4 linked regions of the Drosophila melanogaster genome follow. The protein of the gene in region 3 interacts with the protein of the main gene of each other region in a pairwise test. Each region holds a gene or a part of one and is shown on either strand. Other genes may lie near its edges.

The links.
Region 1: the proteins of indra (region 3) and CG14341 interact in a two-hybrid assay, tested with the Drosophila melanogaster proteins (one large-scale study listed by BioGRID).
Region 2: the proteins of indra (region 3) and CG7974 interact in a two-hybrid assay, tested with the Drosophila melanogaster proteins (one large-scale study listed by BioGRID).
Region 4: the proteins of indra (region 3) and CG6951 interact in a two-hybrid assay, tested with the Drosophila melanogaster proteins (one large-scale study listed by BioGRID).

What each region holds. Positions count from the first base shown.
Region 1 is NT_033779.5:1,164,662-1,168,055, reverse strand, and holds CG14341 (uncharacterized protein), read right to left. Parts: upstream 1,551-3,394; 5' UTR 1,497-1,550; coding exon 1,134-1,496; intron 1,074-1,133; coding exon 894-1,073; 3' UTR 845-893; downstream 1-844. Other genes in the region: Plap (phospholipase A2 activator protein), read left to right, coding at 1-44, 102-813; IntS14 (integrator 14), read right to left, coding at 1,695-2,917, 2,976-3,394.
Region 2 is NT_037436.4:1,663,165-1,667,211, reverse strand, and holds CG7974 (uncharacterized protein), read right to left. Parts: upstream 2,075-4,047; 5' UTR 1,962-2,074; coding exon 1,846-1,961; intron 1,792-1,845; coding exon 1,178-1,791; intron 1,123-1,177; coding exon 968-1,122; 3' UTR 618-967; downstream 1-617. Other genes in the region: Srrm234 (Serine-arginine repetitive matrix 2/3/4), read left to right, coding at 2,442-2,680, 3,191-3,292.
Region 3 is NT_037436.4:1,338,807-1,344,384, forward strand, and holds indra (indra), read right to left. Parts: upstream 3,598-5,578; 5' UTR 3,586-3,597; coding exon 3,566-3,585; exon of another isoform or gene 3,264-3,565; coding exon 3,122-3,263; intron 3,056-3,121; coding exon 1,016-3,055; 3' UTR 654-1,015; downstream 1-653. Other genes in the region: Hmbs (hydroxymethylbilane synthase), read left to right, coding at 1-364; Ptp61F (protein tyrosine phosphatase 61F), read right to left, coding at 5,522-5,578. UniProt on the Drosophila melanogaster protein: Required for rDNA copy number maintenance and non-random sister chromatid segregation (NRSS) following unequal sister chromatid exchange. Binds ribosomal DNA (rDNA) preferentially binding to intergenic spacers (IGS) regions on both X and Y chromosomes.
Region 4 is NT_037436.4:20,239,090-20,245,971, forward strand, and holds CG6951 (uncharacterized protein), read left to right. Parts: upstream 1-2,177; 5' UTR 2,178-2,451; intron 2,452-2,473; exon of another isoform or gene 2,474-2,595; intron 2,596-2,755; exon of another isoform or gene 2,756-2,814; intron 2,815-3,416; exon of another isoform or gene 3,417-3,708; coding exon of another isoform or gene 3,709-4,368; exon of another isoform or gene 4,369-4,646; intron 4,647-5,075; 5' UTR 5,076-5,077; coding exon 5,078-5,488; intron 5,489-5,848; coding exon 5,849-6,049; 3' UTR 6,050-6,223; downstream 6,224-6,882. Other genes in the region: CG17233 (uncharacterized protein), read right to left, coding at 1-524, 774-1,406; Clc (clathrin light chain), read left to right, coding at 3,709-4,368. UniProt on the Drosophila melanogaster protein: Supplies the nucleotide substrate for thymidylate synthetase.

The sequences.
Region 1 (3,394 bases), on a different chromosome or scaffold from region 3:
ATCTTCGACACCTGTGATGCCAAGAAGGTGCTAGAGAAAATGATGTGGGTTTAGATATTTTCTCAGCTAATCCCCAACTAATCCCTACATCTCTTTGGCAGAGAGTTCAATGGCAAACTAAGCCTACCTGATGGAAGAGTGGGAGAGGAGGTCTTGTTGGCCGTAATCAAACTCGCCGATCAATCGCCTGAGCTCGATCTGACCTCCCTGGAAGCTCTGGCCATCCTGCTGAAGTGGCCGGCGTCCATGCAGTTCCCCGTGCTGGACATCCTTCGCCTGGCCGTGCGAAATGAAGCCATCTTCAGTGTCCTGAACAACAGTCACAACTTCCTGGCGACCGTTATCCCTCAATTGAGCGGCTCGGCACCCAACCAGCTCATGGTGGTGCGCTGCCTGGCCAACATCATGAGCCACGCCGCCGGCCGGCAAAATGTGATGTCCCGTCTGGCGGAGATCATCGATCTCGTGGGAGCCATCAAGACGGGCAGTGCCAATCTGCAAATTGCCGTGGCCACCTTCTATTTGAACCTCACAATCTCCCAGACTCTGGACGTGGCGAAGTCGGAGGTGTGTCATGTGGTCACCTCCGGTATTGTGGAGCTGCTCAAGTGGGCCAAGGACTTGGAAGCGTGCTACCGTTCCATGCAGGCCATCGGCAACCTGACCACCACTTCGTGCGGCCAAGAGACCATTGCGCAGGTGGTGTCCGTGGACTATGTGATGGACAAGTTGAGGGAACTTACCATTACTCCGCAGGACAAGAACTTCAGCAAGGTGAATTCTGTGGGCCAGGCCCTGCTGGCTGTGTTCTAAGATCTCCGCCAAGCAACTTCTTATGATCATTCTAAATTATACATATATTGGAGAACTTTTTTTCTAAATACACACAAACGCTATTCTTTCTTGGAATGCTGATGACTCTCGCGCGACGACGACGTTGAGGGTTCGGGTGGATGGTGCCGGTTGTTAATCCGGTCCAGCAGCTCATGCTTCCAATGCTCCTCGGGCACTCCTCTGGCCCAATCCGGCACTGTGATGTTGGGTAACGTTATAGTGGACATCGCTTTGAGTATCTGGAGTGTCGGGATGAAAGTTGCTGGCATGTCTCGCAATTGTAAATCGGAATGTCTTACCTGTTCCGTTCGAGTTTTGTCAAGATCCATTTGGAGTTCCCTGGGTCTTGGTTCACTCCAGACTTGTCTCTCGATTTCCACGTCAGCGGGCTCAATGGCAGGCATGTTGGGGTCTCCGTGGGTGACTGGGGCAGTCATCAGGTCAACATCTTCGTCATTATCCGCGGACGGGGTCTCCTGCTCCCTGGACATCTCCTCGGGATCCGCTGCATCGTTCTCCTCATCCAAAGCGAGTGGTTGGTAGCCGTCGTATGCATCCGAATCATCGTCATCCTCGCTCTCCACCCCTCCCCGTGGATGGTCAACCGGTGGGGTTGGAAGTCCCTCTTGACCGGGATCTGAGGGCAATTCTGGACTTCCCATTATTATTTTTACGACTTTTATTGTTACTATATTATTTGGTCATCGATAACGATAACGCCAAGCGGCCAGTGCTGTGAAGTGCAGAGATGAAAAATACCGTTACGCTTTCATTAAAGCCCGAACTTTTAAGATTTAAATTTTTACGATTATTTGTATTACAAAGTAAACACAGTCTTAAAGTAAGGACATAAAAAATTTTCAATACATGTATGCAGGAGCAGGAGCCGTGGCAGCCGTGCTGCCCGCATCCGATGCACCAACTTTCTGGAGCGGAACAATCATGGACTTCATGTCTCTGTTCGAGGTCTTCCGCAACTCCGTAGCCGCGTGCTGCAGCTGCAGGGTGCAGTCGTTGCTGGCTCCGTTCAGGCTGAGATGGGCGCACTCCTTCTCCAGCAGCATGGCCAAAGCCTCCAGCAACTCGACGAATCCCAGCGCCAGGGCAGCGCGGCGGATGCGATTGAGCTCCTTGTAGAAGTGCTGCGTCTTGTCGGGCATCTTCTTGGCGTGTCGCAGTACCTTCTGGACGTCGGACTGCAGGCTAGCCTGTCGTATCCACACCACACTGCTCTGCGAATAAGATCTGCGGTCGGCACGCACCGGAAAACTGGCCGTCTCTCCGGGCGCCAAATCCTCGGGGAAGCCCAGCGATTCCAGGTCTCCTAGCCAGGGAATCACGTTCGTGCCGGGTGGAAGTATGTTCAGCATCAGGTTTGACTTCTTCTTGCTGTCGGTGAATGCATATATGAATCCGTACCACTTGTCACCCACTCGAACCAGAGCTGCCATGTTCTCCATTTTGAGGGCTCCGTGAAGGAGGACGCACAAGTTTTCTTTTTGTTGCTCTGTCTGGGGGCCGGGTTTCAAGACAATGGTCACATCGTCGTCGCCACTTTCCTCCGTGTCTTTTGAATCCTTGGCGTAAAACTCTTTGATATCGGCTTCCAGCTTCTCCAGCTCGTAGTTGGGATTGCTGGTATCTAGATTGAGCTTCGGTGGCTTGGCTGCTGCGCTCAGGTTTCCAGACCTCCGACTGCTGCCGCTCTTCTCCCGCTCCACTTTGGGCAGCACCCAGTGTCGACTCAGGGTGGCCGGTGATCCAATGTCCGAAAGGGACAGGAAGCCACACACCTCAATCTTCTGGTCTGTGTGGCGAATGGTGGGTTCTCGGCCGAATATGTGGGACTTTTGCTCATACGGAGCCGTCGGTGGCCAGAGCAGAACAGATGCCTCCATGCGGAAGTAGCTGCCGCATTTCAGGGTCACCTCCGAACTCTTGTAGCTGGCCTCGCAGAGACGTTCAATTAGTTCGAAGACCGTAGTGCGGCCCAGTTCGCTTTTGTGGCTGGGGTTCGGGTTGGGATTGGGATTTCCCTCGACTGCATCGCTGCTCTTGGCGGGCTTTGTCATGAAGAGCTGGCCTGGAAACGTAGGTACACCATTAGTTACATGAATATCTTTGAATAGAGTGCAGCTCACCCTTCAGTGAGACCTTGTCCAGCAGCTGCTGGTACACCGCCAATCCCCTGGTGAAGTAGTAATCGCCGTGCAGGCCCAGGCAGATGAAATTCAGGTTGTAGTTGGCCAGAGTCTTCAGGAAGCCGAACTCCGGCTCCGACTCCTTTTCGGCGTAGGCCTCCAGGAAGCCCGTGATCGAGGTGTTGCCAAAGCCGAGGCCGCAGTCCGTAAAGACAACCACCTGCAGGATGTTCTGGTTGCCCCACGGCGACATTATGGACACCACCGCCTTGAGCATGCTCATCAGGCAGGCCTTGTCCACGGGCTCCACCTTCTTGACCGCCTGCCGCACCTGGTCGTAGTCCCGCGTGAAGTCCACCTTCAGTTCCGCCGTCGTCGAATAGGAGAGCAGAGCAACGTGCTCCAATTTGCCGGCCGCC
Region 2 (4,047 bases), 320 kb from region 3:
AATAAAACCACTCAAAAACTAAGTGTGGGTTTTCAATGTGGGCTCAATGGGTTCTGAGTTTCTTTCAGTTTTCTCTTTCAGATTGGATACTTCAGGTTTTAGCGCTCTAAATTGGTGAGTTTTTAATAACAAGCAATCTTTCAATTTGCTAATACTACCTTCTATCGCAGGCTGTCTTTAAATGGGAAGCTTAACTTGCTAAACGAAGAGGTAATTAAAGTTTTATTTTGTAATTTTAATGTATAACACTTAGCTGATGATATTACGAGTAGGAATCTCATTGAAATAACCATGAAATCAATTTTATCTCCACTGATAGCATTATGCTCAAGGAAGCTGAACTCAACCAAACCAAGCTAATCAAGACTTTATTTCGTTTCAGTTTTCAATCTGGCTCGTATCTGGATCCTTGGATATGAAATTCTTCAAGGTGTGTATATTTCGGATGGAGTAGTTTGAATTGTAATCTGCTCTGATGATATTTCGAGTAGGAATCTCATTGAGCTACCTGTAGCTATGAAATCAATTTTAATCTCCCACTGATCAAATCATTTCAAACAACAATGGCTTCTCTTAAAGCGCTTTATTTAACAATTCTTTTTTAATTCATTTCAGTTGCGCCATTGTTTCCCGATTCTCTGGACTAACTTCTTATAAGGTGTGTATCTGTTTTAGTTACTGACAACTTCTTTATTGTGATGATATTTTGAGTAGGAATCTCATTGAGCCTCAGTCATTCGTTGCTTTGAAATTAATTTTGTCTCTCACTGATTGCAAGCATAAAAGCAAATATGTTCATCGTTGTGAAGCATAACTAACCAAGTGTTTGCTTTTATTTTTACAGAAGTGGCCCGATTAATGGATTAATGAGTTAATTCTTAAAGTACATTTAATTGAAATATATATAGAAATAAAACAGAATCCTGAACCTAAACAATTGTACATTTTATTGCTGGCACTCGTATCTTTAGTATCTGCGGAACTGCTTCCTAAACTTATCATAATGGTAGTCATCTGTGGCTCGCTTGACTCCATTGGGATTCGTCTGATGCTGTGCGGATTTGTTGCCCTCCCTTTCCTCACGCTTGCGCCTCCTTTGATCGCTGTTGTCCTCGATGTTGACTGGAAGTAACAAAGGTTTAGTATCCGCGGAAACGTTTCACACTTGGGAACTCACATCGATTGTGTTGCATGAAGTTCACCGCCATGTTGGTGGGCACGAATTGCGAGGGTCCGTCCTTCTTGTTCTTGGCGTCCTGCAGCAGCTTCTGCTTGGCTTCCTCGGTGGCCTCTATGTTGCGGATCTTGGCCACAATGCCCAGGTCCACTTCAGGAATGCCATTGAGCATCTGGTTGGACAACATCTCCTCCGATCTGTGCGAGGAAGACTGCCTCAGGTGGTCGGGCAGGGCGTACAGGGCGGCATCCTCGGGGGTCAGGTACTTGTTTACATCACCGTCGTCCTCTGCTGCGTCCTCCGTGCCGCCTCCCTTGCGCTTCTGCAGCTCCTGCTCGATGTACTTCATCATCTCCTCGTCCTCATCCCGCTTATTCGTCTCCGCCGAGAACTGCGTGCCAATGCCCACGTCGTAGGCGTCGTCCGCCTCCTTCATCTTGCCCGATTTCAGCTGCTTCATGTTGACCAGACCACCGGTCTTCACATTAAAGGGATCCTTGATGGCCAGCTCCTCTTCTGGCGCGATCTTCTTGCCCAGCGCCAGTCCCACAAGGCTGACGCCATTGGGTCGCTGCCTGAGGCGCTGGCGTTCTTTAATCTCATCTAGCGTTAATCTGTATAGAAATGAACACTTTAGTTTAATTCATTTCTAATTGTTGACGGCTTACTGTTCCTCCTTTTCTTCTTCGTCTGAATTCTTGCGTTGCCTTAGGTTTTTTCGACCGGCTTTTTTGAACAACACTTTGGTGGTGGCTTCTGCTTTTGTTTCCTCTGCATCGCTCATGATTTTAGACTAATAAATCTATATATTTCTTAAGATAAAATAAGTGTAATATTGTTGTTTACGTTTAGCTATTAGTGTGCCCGTTTCGCCGATTTTCACTTCACTGATAACATCCACTTCGTTGCTTTGAACAGGATCCACTCATGTTAGCTTCATTGTGGAATTGACAGCTAGGGAGCATTTAGGCGACATTTGTCATCTGGTCACACTGAGGGCGGCATATTGTCGCATATCTAGTCGAATATTTTGACAAAAAGGAATAAACTACTGAAAAGTTAGGCAGCCTAGTAAAGCCAGCGCTTGGATAGCAGCGCCGCAGGACATATAACAGAGGTGAGAAAGCCAGACAAGTCGAACACCACTTGCACTGCAACTGAAATCGATTTTTCGTGTGGTGCAATTGCAGCGTTGGTGGAGCACCCAGTGGCCGCCGGGAGTCGTTGATAGTTAAGAGGAATTTGCAGGACATCGCAGACCAGCATGTACAACGGCATTGGCCTGACCACGCCCCGTGGCTCCGGCACCAATGGGCACGTGCAGCGGAATTGGGCATGTGTGCGGCCCGGGAAGAAGGACAAGGACTACCGCGCCGAGGACGACACGAAGAAGCTGGACGCCCAGCTGAACCGGCCGCCGAACAAGGAGATCCTGGACCACGACCGCAAGCGCAAGATCGAAGTCAAGTGCCTGGAATTGGAGGACATTCTCGAGAAGCAGGGGTGAGCAGGGGACATGGGCAATTACATGCCAGTATGTAATGTCAATCCGGGTTATATAACGCCGGCCTGGGGCTGTTGCTTCCTTCGCTGTTTATGTTTACATTGGCGCCTGGTAGCTGCTCCTGCACGCCAGAGAGCGGACGCACACGCGCCGAACTGAGCACTGAACTACCCCCAGCCCGTTGGCGAGCCACCCCTACGCGGGCAGGGCTTCCTCCACCCGCTCGGTGCGTCACATGTGAGCACTCTTCCGGTGGCACGAACTCGGCTGGTGGTGAAAAAAGTGCATTTCAGTTGTAGAGATTATTTTGAGTGAAAGACATCCGCATGTCCGGGCAAGCGGACTGAAATCTAAGCACTCCTTAGCTAATTTAACAATCTAGATAGGTGAAACATCATCCATATTTAAGCCTTTTTTGAGCTAATCAAGCTAGTCTTAAAGGTAGAATTACGAACTTTAGATATAGAGCCACGCTAATTATCTTATCCATTAAAATTGAATTATTACAGACGCACCCCGGAGGAAATTAAGTCGCAGGTGGACTCCTTCCGCCAGAAGTTGATGGGACAGGGCAAAACAGATCTGGCCAAAGATGAATTCGGACGCGTAGCGTAAGTACCACGCTTTTAATAGCTTATGTAATTTAAAGCAAAACGTGCGCCCAGTGGACAAATCAATAAGCTCTTAAACAAACCGAAGGCCTGCTCAAATCTCGGCCAGCGCACGACAGCTGTAAACCACATCCAAGAAAAGACATGCGCCGCCGCAGCGCCCAACTCGCCACCCCTTCTTTCATTCATTCGGGGGCCAATCACAGGCGTCGCATGGTAGAGAAAAAGCTGCTGCAAAGATTTTCCGGGATGCGCACGGCTTTCAGTCACTTCAAGTCTTCCAAAGCCACAGCAAGTTGGCCAAAGCGCTCAGGAAACGCCGCGTAGCAGCCAGATATATTTACACACAAATTAAAAGCAATAACCGCCTGCTAAAACGACCCACTAAGTGCCCTTGGCGAGGAGCTGGCGATGGAGGTGGCGCAGAGGAGCCGTCTCAGGGGACCTGGTAAAAAAGGCACGATAAGCGCTGGAAAATCGCTGGAAAAATCGATATCCGCCCCGTCAGGAGCTCAGCAGCAAATGCATCCATAAGCCTAGCAATCAAAAGAAAAAAAATTAAAATAAAACACGAGATCCCAATGACCTGGAGGGAGGGCTTGGCACCCAGCCAGCAAAAGCCCTTCAAGTGTGCCCGAGGAGGAGTAGCTCTGCATACGCACCCGATAAATGAAAACCCAGCGCCGGTGGTGGTGGTGTCGCATAGCTCTTGGTTCACCCCTAACTCAGCATTGCCAGCCGCTTTCGAGCTGCGG
Region 3 (5,578 bases):
AGTGGATAATGTTGCAACTTCCTCCAAGTGTCCCTTTGCGGCCATGCATCAGGGCAGCGGTCTTGAGGCGCCGGCTAAGGACAACGGAAACGCAGCCACAGCCAAGTGCCCGTTCCTGCAGAAAACGGTCCAAATGTTCGACTACGCCGACGAGGAGCAGCCGACGCCGCAGCACTCGGTGCTCATTGAGGATGTGGAAAACCTGTTCTGCGGTCTCTACCAGCACGCCTGTCACAGTCGGGGCATCTACGAGAAGGCCAACCAGCTGGGCAAGACGCTGGCGGAGGACCTGATCAAGCGCGGCGCCCTCGACGTGATGAAGGTGGCCCAGGCAGAGATTCACGGCAAAGTGGCGTCGTCTTGAGCCCGTCATCAATATCATCGTTTACATTAAGTAGAAAAGTGTAACTAGACAAAATGTTTTTCATTTCCGCCTCGTTGTTGAACTCCCGTGGAGAACTCATGCTTCCCCTGATTTAACATCGGTATTGTATTCAATCCTTCTGCTCTCCCCGGCGAATGCATCGTTAATGGTTGGTTTCCGCGTAAACGTTATTTTAGTTTTGTTTTTGTTTCGGGAATATGACAAATAAATGTATAAGTGAACTCATATTGTGTCATTTTTTCTCTCCACTGATTGAAACAAGCAATTTCGTAGCTTTTTGCCATTTTTTATTAACAGTTCATCGCTCAGTACAAATATGTTTATTACATTCAAGCTAATTTATATACTCTTGGTGAGTACAAGTGGTGTAACCAATGCGGTTATAATAAAGTCTTAATATACAAATTAAACTTATCTTTTGAATTGAACTTAATAATAGTTAAAAATGTATGAAGTAACCTTGTTATAAATTGCAGTTTTCATCGACTTTTATCAACTTTATATAGACCCTTTCAAAGTTAGCCATTGAAAATTCAAAGAATTATACTTAACATAGCAATAAGCTAACGTAAAACTACATTGGTCAAGAGAATGAAATGAAAAACAAAAATAAAAGGGAGTCTAGTGCAACTAGTGGCGCTTGCGCAGGTGCGAGGATAGGAAGTTGGCCTCCGTGAAGACCTTCTTGCAATTGGCTACGCCGCATGGAAGTCCACCTTCGGAACCACAGTTCGAGAAGTGAGCCACGTAATCCATTTGGTTCTGGTAGACTTCCTTGCATAGGGTGCACTGTAGTTTGGCGGCGTGCTTTTTCTCCATGTGCGAGTCCAAGCGTTGACGCGATTTGACGAACTTCCCGCACCGGTCGCAGCTGAGGGTCGACTCGTCGGCTGTTGAGTCACCAATGGACTCCAGGCGAGCCTTTTTGTGCGGCCGCACGTTGTAGTTGATTTCTTCCACTATGTCTACATCAGATGAGGGGAGCGTGTCCTCAGATTTGTCTTGTTTTTTTCGTTTTTCTGACTTTGCAGGCGAATTGCCATTGGTTGTGGACACAGACAGATCTACGTGACTGGTCTTCTTTGTCTTTTTAGCTGGCGACCGAGGTGCAATCATGCCTCCATCGACCTGGTGCTGAATGTTGTTCCTGGATCGTATAATCTTTTCTTCTGCGGGTCCTTCATCATCCTCCGCGGTGTTGTCAGTCTTAAAAGCGTCCACAATTTCCACAACCTCATCCTCTTCTTGCAGAATCTTTCGGTTGGTGAACTTTGCGGCTTTAGTAGGGCTTTGTTGTGATTTCTTAGGTCCTTCAACCTTCTCGGCCGTGTTTTCAATCTGAGTCGTACCCAGAATGTCTACGTCCTCATCCTCGTCCTGCAGAATCTTTCGCTTGCTGGAGTTCGGCGCTTCAGCACCGTCGGCATGTAGAGTCATGTGCGTTTTCAGCGACTGTTTGGTAGCCAAACTCTTCTCGCAGACGTGGCACTTGAAAACCTTTGGCTTGTCGATGCTGTGGACGGTCTTCATGTGCTCCTGCATCTGCTTGGCGGTCATCAGCTCACAGTCGCAGATCTCGCACTGAAAATTATTCGAATCCGCCCTGGGAGTGGAGGCGCTGGATCCATTGATGGCAAATGTATATTCCGAGTCGATCACGTTCTCTAACATCCTTTTCTTCATTAATGACTCATTTAGCGCTTTAAAGGAGGCGATTTTGGTAGCCTGGGTCTGGTCTGCGTCCTCACTATCTGTGCCCTTTTTGTTGTTCACTTGGTCGTCGATTTCGTCAACCACTTTGGTTTCAACATTACATTTGATCTCTGTCTTTTTCTCTTTGGACTTTTTTTCTTTTGGCTTCTTCCTTTGACTCACAGCATTGGTCTCCTTTGCCTTTGCGTCAATTTTATTCTTGGCCCCTGACTTAGCCTCTTTTTCCTTGCTTTCCTTCGCCTTAGTCTTAGCCTCGCTTTCAAAAGTGCGTGAGTGAGTGTCCCTTAAATGATTTTTCAAAGTCTTAAGCACTCCAAAAGTCTTAATACACAAGGTACAGGGGTATATGCGTGGTCTTTGAAGACCGTGCTCCTTCTGCAGATGCTCCTTGTACGGTTTGGGAAACTTTGCGTGAAATTCGCACTCTGGACACTGAAAGTTATTTGTGTTAATGGTGATAGGACCTTTATCCGAGTCCTCCTCTTCCTCGCTCTCGGTCAGTACTTCGATGGCATCGTTGCCGCCGTTGCCAAAGAGATTAAGGAAAGCCTTTTTAGTAGACGACACCTCTTTGGCGGGCGTCAGCTTAACCGAATCGTTAAGATTATCCTCGAAGAGTCGAGATATCTGCTTTTTAGGGGTCTTATCGAGTTTCTTGGGCGAAGCACTAATGATCTCGATTTCTGTATTAGTATTAGCTCCATTCACAAAGCTTGGCGGGAAAGCTGCTATGGACTTGCTGCGCTGACGGAGGGTGGTGTTCTTTTTTGGCACCTTAACCGCCTTCTTATCGCTTTCCTGTGTCGATGGCTCCTCTATTTCCGCTACCTTAGTCTTCTTGGCGGGCTGCTCCTGTACCCTGTCCACCGTCTCGCGGACCTTCTCGATTAGTGCCGCGCTGGACATGAATGTGGAGGTGCAGACGAAGCATATCTTGATGGGCAAGGATGATGGGATCTGAAATGGGATGGGATGATTTAGATGACGAGAAGGGAAATCAGAATGCCGCCATTTCCAACTCACGCTTCTGTGGGTGATGGTCTCCAGTACGTCTGTTATTTTCCTGCCCAGGAACACCTTCTGACCTGAAAAAACACTCTTGGACCCTTGGCTTGTGCCGCAATGGTCGCATCGCACCTCTTTTTGCACCTTGGTCATATTTTCACTAAGTTTTCCAGCAAAAACAAAAACAGAAATCAAACAACGTGCGCACGTTTTTTTTTTTGCGGGGCTACAGTTACCAAACACTGCTATCTATGTTAATCAACTGCAGTGCTGCCAGACCGAGTCACCAAAATATACCACATAGTGTGCTTATATATTATGGTTGCACGTTAAAAGAAGCAACTGCAGAACGTTCGCAGAACGAATCTTAATCTTAATAATTTTTGCATCAAATTTAGAAAGAGTGTAGAAAACAGTTTTTAAACTACCTATAATGGCAGTAGCAACTTTAAAAAATATTACCAAAGCAGTATATTGCGCATTCCGGTCACACTAAGTTACATTAACATTCTGTTAATGCTCACGTCGCGTTATGCAACAGCTTTGCGTGTCGATATATAATCGATAACTCTGAACTTGGTTTCCAATTTAAAAATAGTTTATTTAGGCATTAGAAGCTACAGTAATGCAAAATGATATGTTTAGTTTGTTTCTTTGTGTTGGTGCTGACCTGGATGGGCTGTGCCGTTACTTTGTCTTGGATTTTTTGAGTCGGTTCCCGCGCCTGCAAACAAAGAGATGAAAAATGTTATGAATGACAAGGACATGGCAAGGGAATGCGCCAGGATCAAGCGGTTCGCAGTTTTCATGTCTTAAACGTATAGCTTTATTTGAATACTTTCTCTGCTCCTCCTTTCTCTTTCTCTCATAGGCATAATATTGTATAGTACTGTGTTGTGTTGGATTTGTTTCAGTGTACGGTTGGTGTACTTAGCCGACGTTTAGTTAACTAGGCATTACTAGGTATTGTTCATGTTGTTTCTGTTAAATATACTTAATATAAATATGTATTTCCTTTATTTGTTATCCTCCTGGGCCCATCCGATTTCATATGGATTCATAGTGCCTCGCTTTCGGGGGTGGTTACTTGAATTTTGTTAAAGTGTGGGTTACACATATAAAAAATATTTGCGTCCTCTCACGCTACACGTTTATATAAATATGTTTCTTGGGATTGGGACTGCACACTTACTCTACTGGAAAAACCATTGAATAGTCTTTCGCCTTCTTCGTTCTCTCGTTCTAATACAAAATGGTTTCGCTATGGCAAAACCTGGATTATAATTAAATCATACACCTATACTTCGCTTAGCGACTTAGTAAACCGATTTTAGTTTAATTTGATTTGCAACTAGCCACGTGCAACTAGTCCACGGTCACAATTTGAAAAAAGAATCACTTTATTTTGATTTCAGATCGATCGGGGGCGAGTGTGCGAAATGAACAATTTTGATTATAACACTCCTTAAAAGCGTTAAACGAGATATAGGTGTACATCGAGCTGTTTTGTTTAACCGTAAGTTATTGCTTTAATGGCGCTGAATTTCGATTCATTAATAAAGTGCTCGTTTAAGGGGGGACAGGGTCTTTAATTTTAAACACAACAATTCAAAGTTAGTGGTAGTGGTAGGCGGGAGGCAAAGTAAAATTAAGAGTCGTTTAGGACACTTCGTACAATTCTCCGATTCGGTTCTTTTTGGCACATTGCTGCACTTTATATTTTGCCATGTACTACAACAAGTGGTGGTTTCTCATAATCTTCATAAATAAATATACATAGGTCGTATGCTATAAGAAATTGCTGTACAACAACAAGTGAAGCGTGTAGTGGGTGGTTGTCGGGTGCTTGAAACATTGGTAGTTATGATATTCTTAATATTTTAAGCATAGCGAGCAAGTAGGGTGAGCTTTGCATTTGGTATGGCTCGTTTGGGGCATCTGGTCGGTTATCAATCCATTTTTAGAGTGTAGAAAATAAATTTGATCTAAAATGTCAGTCTATTGCGCAAAATCTACATTTGACGTGATTTCTACCCGATTTTCGTTAGTTTAGTTTAGTTGCTTCTTTTCTTTCATTTGTTTCTTTTGTTTTCCTTCTTGTATTTCGTATATAAAAAATTCCCTAATATTTATGCATCTTGTATCGTTCGTTCAGCTCAATCAATCCGCCATCCGCAATTCGTGTGCGATTGCATGGCGTTGCGATGCGATTCCGTCCGATCTCTGATCCTTTCCGATCCGTTGCACGTCGTCCTTGATTCGTTGCCCGCATTAGATGCCGGGTCAGGCGGACGAGCAGGTGGGGATCGGAAGTCGGAAATCGGGTATCAGGGGAGGAATCGGTCTCCTACGGCAACTAAATACGTCATACAGCTATTGCTACTACTGATCTACGACTACTTAGTGGCTACGGGGCACTTAACCTAGCTTCGTGTATGCGTAGGCGCAGATCACGCCCACCACAACACCAGCGGC
Region 4 (6,882 bases), about 19 Mb from region 3:
TGCTGCTGCTGTTGCTGCAGGGTGCTTTGTATCACAGATGAGTAGGCCACCGTGGTGGGTGTGGCAGCAGCAGACGATCCAGCGCCCGCTTCTTGCCGCCTTTGCACAGGGGATGCCGTCTTGTAGACGATCACCTGGGCCTGCGGTGTGCTGACCACGTCCACCGCATGTAAATTCGTGATGGGCGATCCATCTGCGGAGCTTAGCGCCGGACTGGCATATTGCACCGGATAGGATCCCGCCGGAACTGGCACTGCCAGCGGCACCGGACTGGCATCCTGTTGGTCTACTATCGTTGCCCGATACGGCTGGCCATCCTTCCGCGTCACCTTGACCTTCCGGCCATCAATGGTGTAATAGGTGTCCGGTTCTGTGTCTGCCTCGGCGATCTCCTGTTGCAGTTGCTGGTGGAGCTGCTGCTGTTGCTGCTGCGCCGCTGTCTGTTGTTGCTGCTGCTGCTGTTGCAGTTGGATCAGGTAAATCGAGTCGTTGTAGGCTTTTAATTGCTTTTCCTGCTTAATCTGCTACAGCGCACCGTACATAGATTGAATCGGAATCGGAAAGTGTTTGGTTTGGGATTGATTCGACATAGAGAGGCTAGACTTAGTCTATGCTTTGATGGGTTTATTGGAAGGGATGTTATGTTAGTATGCGATAAATGCGATAGAGCCTGCGGGGTTTTAATAAGTGTGTGTGCTTCCCCAGAAGCTGGCGTAAACCATAATAGAAGAGTGATCTGAAAGCCGAACGTAAAACAAACGAATTCTACTCACCACTTTGTCGGCCACCAGGTTTAGCTGTTGCTGTTGCGCCTGCTGCTGTTGCTGTTGGGCCTGTTGTTGCTGCTGTTGTGCCTGCTGCTGTTGCTGCTGTGCCTGCTGCTGTTGCATGGCCAGGAAGGTGTTCGATATCATGTTCGGCGTGTTCCAGGTCAGCGACGTCGACGTCAGGGCCACCGTTGTGGGCGATGGTGAGGCTCCACTCGACGAGGAGTTCTCCCCGTAATAGTTCGAGGCAACATTGTTGACTACAGCAGCCGCTGCCGCCGACACGGCCGCCTGGTTCTGGAACGAACTGAGCTGCTTGTCCAGCGAACTGGGCAGCTGCAGCTGGCGGTGCGGCGTGCTCACCGCTGACGAGGCATAGTGGGCGGGCTTAGGCTGGACACTGGCCGCCGCCGCATGGTGGTAGATCTGCTGGAATACTGGGTTGTAGCTGCCAATCGGTGACGGAGGCACAAAGCTGCCACCACTGGCGGCCGCCGCATTAAAGCTGGCGATGCTTGCTGCCGTAATGGTGGCCAGGTGTGGATGCTGGAAGTCCTCTGCTGTTCCGCCGGAGCTTCCGGCACTGGCGGGCACGATGCGGTTGTAGGCGTATGACCAGGGACTGGAATTGGGATCCATGTTTGGCTTGGGCTCTTCTACTGCTGATGGCTGGTAACTGAAACAAATAGCAAAACTTTAGTGGTTTTTGAATATAATTAGCGGCTTATATGTAAAGGATTAACTAATTGGAGTTTATTATTGCTCGGATACATTTCCAATGGTCATGTGTTAAGTCTAAAAATCCCGCCCATATTTATCAATTTAGCGGTAGCTTAGATTATAACATATTTATATTGTTATCACAAGTTGCTTGCCATGGCATTCATAATATAGAGGGGAAAAAGGCGCGAATTCAATTAATGTTATTTATGGATCAATAATAATTACTATAAAATTATTGATATTTATATGTGGTCAAACATATTTTGTTTATCTTTTATTGTAAATCAATAAACACATAGTAGAAGTACACTTTAGAATGAAACACTCCAGTTTTGGGGTGTTTGTTCCCCAACTTTTCTGCACTGAAGGGATCCCCCTATTTTTTTCGTATCTTCATTTTTTTTGTATCCCTTTTGGCCACGATGCGCTTGGTTCCCCCTTCAAAAAAATTGGCGTCTGTATTTTTTGCCTTGGCGCTCGGCGGCAAGGAGACCGCATTTTTGAAGTTTCAGCGTCAATGGGTTAATGTGGGTGCTCACTTATGACATTACAATGACGGGGCCATCACATTGGCTGGGATTTATGCTGTTTTTGGCAATGTTTTTCTGCCTGGGAATAGGATTTTTTCCCGTATTTTCCGCTTGTACATATATGTATCCATGCACACAATCACACACACACACACACATACTCACACACACGGGCGTACATGCGTGCGTGTTGGAAGATAGTCACTAACTTTTAGTCGTTATAGAATCGGAACTGTCGGTCTGCTCGGGCCCAGCATTATCTTCACATCGGATCGGCCAGCACAACAACGCTTCAATATGCACGAGCGGATTTTATGTTTAACTAACAGCGAACGTTCTTTTTTTTAGATTCGGTGCATAACTTTTTTGTGGATGAAACAATCTCCAAAATGGCCGCTCTGCTGCCAGTGAAAAACGAACCACTGGCTCAGGTGAATGATGCCACGGTGAACTTGTTCATCGGTTCACTAGTTCGCGCGCCGAGTGTTTATTGTTTGTTTTGCCGTCGTCCTCGCATTTCGTCTTTGTTAATTTCCTCAAAAAGTATACTGCGTCTTGTGTTCTTCGTGGCATAGGTTAGTCAAAAACATAATTAAGTCATGTTGTGTGAACAATTCACCGTGAAATTTGACCAGCAATTATATTCCCATGTGCTATGCAATAGCAACAAGTGTTGTATAATACGCTTTTTATCGGGTCTACAGTCATTACTAGTTAACTTTGTTGTGTATTTACATTTTACGAGCATTTATTAAGGCACATTTGATAAGATATAAACAAATTAATCGTAACTCCTCTGAAGGTTGTGTTTACTGAACTCGCGCGTTTCCTAACACTGATCAATTGGAACTAGTTGATTTCAAAAACCATGAGAACTTTACAAAATCTGAAAACAAAAAAAAAAATAAAATAATTCCAAACTTAAATATTATATTAAATCTAGGTTTTATTAACTATATGTACGGTTCTAAATTATATATGAACGAATCAAGCCACCACCATTACACATTTTGCAACACTAATTGACCAGAAACCCAGTGGAAAATTGACGCTGCTGATATAATTTAAAAGTTTAGTTAAGGAAAAATTAAATGTTCTTACTTTGGTTTTTTCAACATACATTATCATAAACTTGTAGCTTAATAATACAAAATGTAGCTAAATCTTTAACTCGTTATCCGTGATGTTAAGGAATGTTGAATTCGGCTTTGACAAGTAAAATAGTTAACAATGGTTTCTGTTCCTTAAATATTACTAATTTGTATACATTTAAAAGATTTGGCATAATAACTGGTGTAAAAAAATATTTATTTTTTAATATAAAAATCATAACATTAAATTTAAAACCATCGCGTTGCGATATATGTTGCATTATCCAGCACTGTTCGGCTGGAACCAGTTCGATAGCCCGCTGTTTTATGGTTGGTTCACGTACTAATGACAGTCATTTTACGTATTCATTGCTAAAAGAAAACTGAAAAAATACATTTGACCAAGTTTCCGGTTAGTCATCCGCCCACACCGATCTTCAATTAGTCCTAACCGAATCAAAGGAGAGGTGCGTAGTGCCCAATTGTCAATGAATCGGGGGGAATCCGCCAGCAGCTGGCTGCTCCTCTGCGTACGTGTAAATCTGGGTGAGACGCCCACTAAATAGCAATCACAACATTTCCAGAGAGCACATAGCCATGGACTTCGGAGACGATTTCGCTGCCAAGGAGGACGTGGATCCGGCGGCCGAGTTCCTGGCGCGCGAACAGTCAGCTCTCGGGGACTTGGAGGCGGAGATTACGGGTGGATCTGCATCAGCTCCTCCGGCTGCATCCACAGACGAGGGCTTGGGTGAGCTTCTGGGAGGCACCGCCTCCGAAGGCGATCTGCTCTCTGCTGGCGGCACGGGTGGCCTCGAATCCTCCACTGGCAGTTTTGAGGTCATTGGTGGCGAGTCCAATGAACCCGTGGGCATATCCGGTCCGCCGCCGTCGCGGGAAGAGCCCGAAAAGATACGCAAATGGCGCGAAGAGCAAAAGCAACGACTGGAGGAGAAGGACATCGAGGAGGAGCGAAAAAAGGAGGAACTCCGACAGCAGTCCAAGAAGGAGCTGGACGACTGGTTGCGCCAGATTGGCGAGTCCATATCGAAGACCAAACTGGCGTCGCGGAATGCCGAGAAACAAGCCGCCACCCTGGAGAATGGCACCATCGAGCCGGGCACCGAATGGGAGCGCATAGCCAAGCTCTGCGACTTCAATCCCAAGGTGAACAAGGCGGGAAAGGACGTCTCCCGCATGCGATCCATCTACCTGCACCTCAAGCAGAATCCCATCCAGGTGCAGAAGAGCACCTAGGTAGTTTTAATTACGCACTCGCCTAACCACATTGAGTTGAATATGAAAATTATTATTGAAAGTATTCGCTGTATATTCCAATTTATGATACATAAAATATTATTATTGCTGCTATAACATAGCCGCGATCATCGTTTTGTCTAATGAATGCAATAAAGAATGTGCACACAGTTGTCATGCTTTCCTTGACTATCATATACCCCATCACACAAAATAAGAAAAACGACATGAAAAAGTTAGGAAAAAGAACAAATAAAAAATAAAACCAAGGATATGACAACTAAAGTGTTTTTTCGTTCATTTTGTTAATCAAGCAGGGTTGCACATCAAGGGGCTTTAATTACTTCCAGTTTTGTTGTAAATAATATTTATTGCTCTATAAAACGCATTATACAAACCATTTATTATTCTTATCTCTAGTTAGTTATACACATACAACTTGTTTTCATCATATATGTGTGTTGGAAATATCAATGGGTTGGAAATGGAATATGGTTGTGTATGGATTTGCATTCATTAAATGATTATTAAAATAAAGACATACAGACAACTGAGGCAAGTATTTGTCATTGCAGAGCTGGTTTAATGTATGCATTATATGAATGAAATACGCATAAAGAAACCAATTACGATAATGAAAAGTGGATATCAGAAATCATAATTTAATTATTTCCATCGCTTAATAAGGTTTTCTACTTGTTTTGCAGAAATGGCTGAAGTTTCCGCTCAAGATTTGATATCCCAGTTGTCGAAGTCACCCGAAAGCCACAAGAGAAAGGAATATCTGCATTGGGATGACTACTTTATGGCCACCTCACTGCTCTCCGCCAAACGCAGCAAAGATCCCGTCACCCAAGTGGGCGCCTGCATCGTGGATTCCCAGAATCGGATAGTGGCCATTGGATACAATGGGTTCCCTCGCAACTGCAGCGATGACGTGTTTCCGTGGTCAAAAGCTAAGAAAGGCTCGCAGGAATTTGATCCCCTGGAAGACAAGAAGATGTACGTGGTCCACGCGGAGGCCAATGCAATCCTGAACAGCAACGGCATGAGTTTGTCTGGAACTCGACTGTATACCACACTATTTCCGTGCAACGAATGTGCCAAACTCATTATACAGGTAAAACTAATATTAACGAAGGAAGCCGAATATAGGATTTCTGTTCTATTATTTGAAATGCAACTTTAATATTTTCATATGGCAGCTGTATAATTTAGTCGTCCTATTTTGATAAAATGAAAAACGAATTAATATATGGAAAAACAACGGTTGTGTACAAAATTACACCAATATATGATCACAAACATGGAAGCACAATCTTTCCAATAGTTTCACGGCTTCAAAAAGGTTTTAAGTTTTTCGTTAAAACGAAAGGACGACCAAACGGACGGCAGCTTTATGAACTCATCTTCTAAAATTGATCAAGAATATATAGTACATACATATCATAACATATAAATTAACCTATTTGTATTCCAGGTGGGCATATCTCAGGTGCTATATTTGTCCGACAAATATGCCGATAAGCCCACATATCGTGCATCCAAGCGGATGCTGGATGCAGTGGGCGTGGAATATAAGCGACACATCCCCCAGAAAAAAACGATCACCATTGATTTTGACACCTTCCCGGAAGAAGATCCGAATGCATCCCTGGGACTAAACGAACTCCATTTGTAATGTACTAATACAATCTTAGCTATCTTGACAACTTTTAATGTGTTTAAAGTAAATTTGACGTGATCGGACTAAATATGTAGACAAATGATAAATAAATTTAATAGCATGCTAATTAAGTTATACTTAGTTTGGCAGTACTAATATAAATAAAAAAATACAGTTTAACTAAAAAGCAAAACGTAAAACGATGTTCTTTTCTATCTGTGAGTCAGAAAAATGCTTCGGAAAATGAGTTCCCTGTAATCGATATTAAAATCAAAATCCAGTAAATCATTGAATCTGACCACTTCCTTTGACGTTTGTTCAAATATGTTCGTAAAAGTATAGTCAAAATCAAAAGCAGAACTTATCTAGATCCCAAAACGTACATATTCTAACCTAATAGGGAATAAAAAACAATAGTTTTTCGTTGAGTATTGCTCCTTTTTTGCAGAGCATAAACGATTAGACGCTTCATTTTATCCGCACGCAAAGATACTTAAAATGTTTTTTAATTAGTACCCATTTGGGAAGAGTGTTCACTTGCACTAATTGACTTGGCAAACAGAAGACTGTCAGGTGAGACTCTTAGCATGCACAGGTGTCCACCGGAGACCAAAAGCGCCATGGAAGTGCTCTACTCAGGTAAAAGTACATGGTATTTTCATATTGAATCTTGGAATTAAATCCCATAATTCATTCCTAAAAAGTTAAATTAATAATTATACTGATCGAAAATTAAAAACAGGGTATATGTGTAATGGAAACTACTCTGTGCCACTTTATAGCTCCGTAATTAAAGGACCTTGAAAATTCTATTGCTGGCCCACACATTAAATTAATTAAGTTAGCCA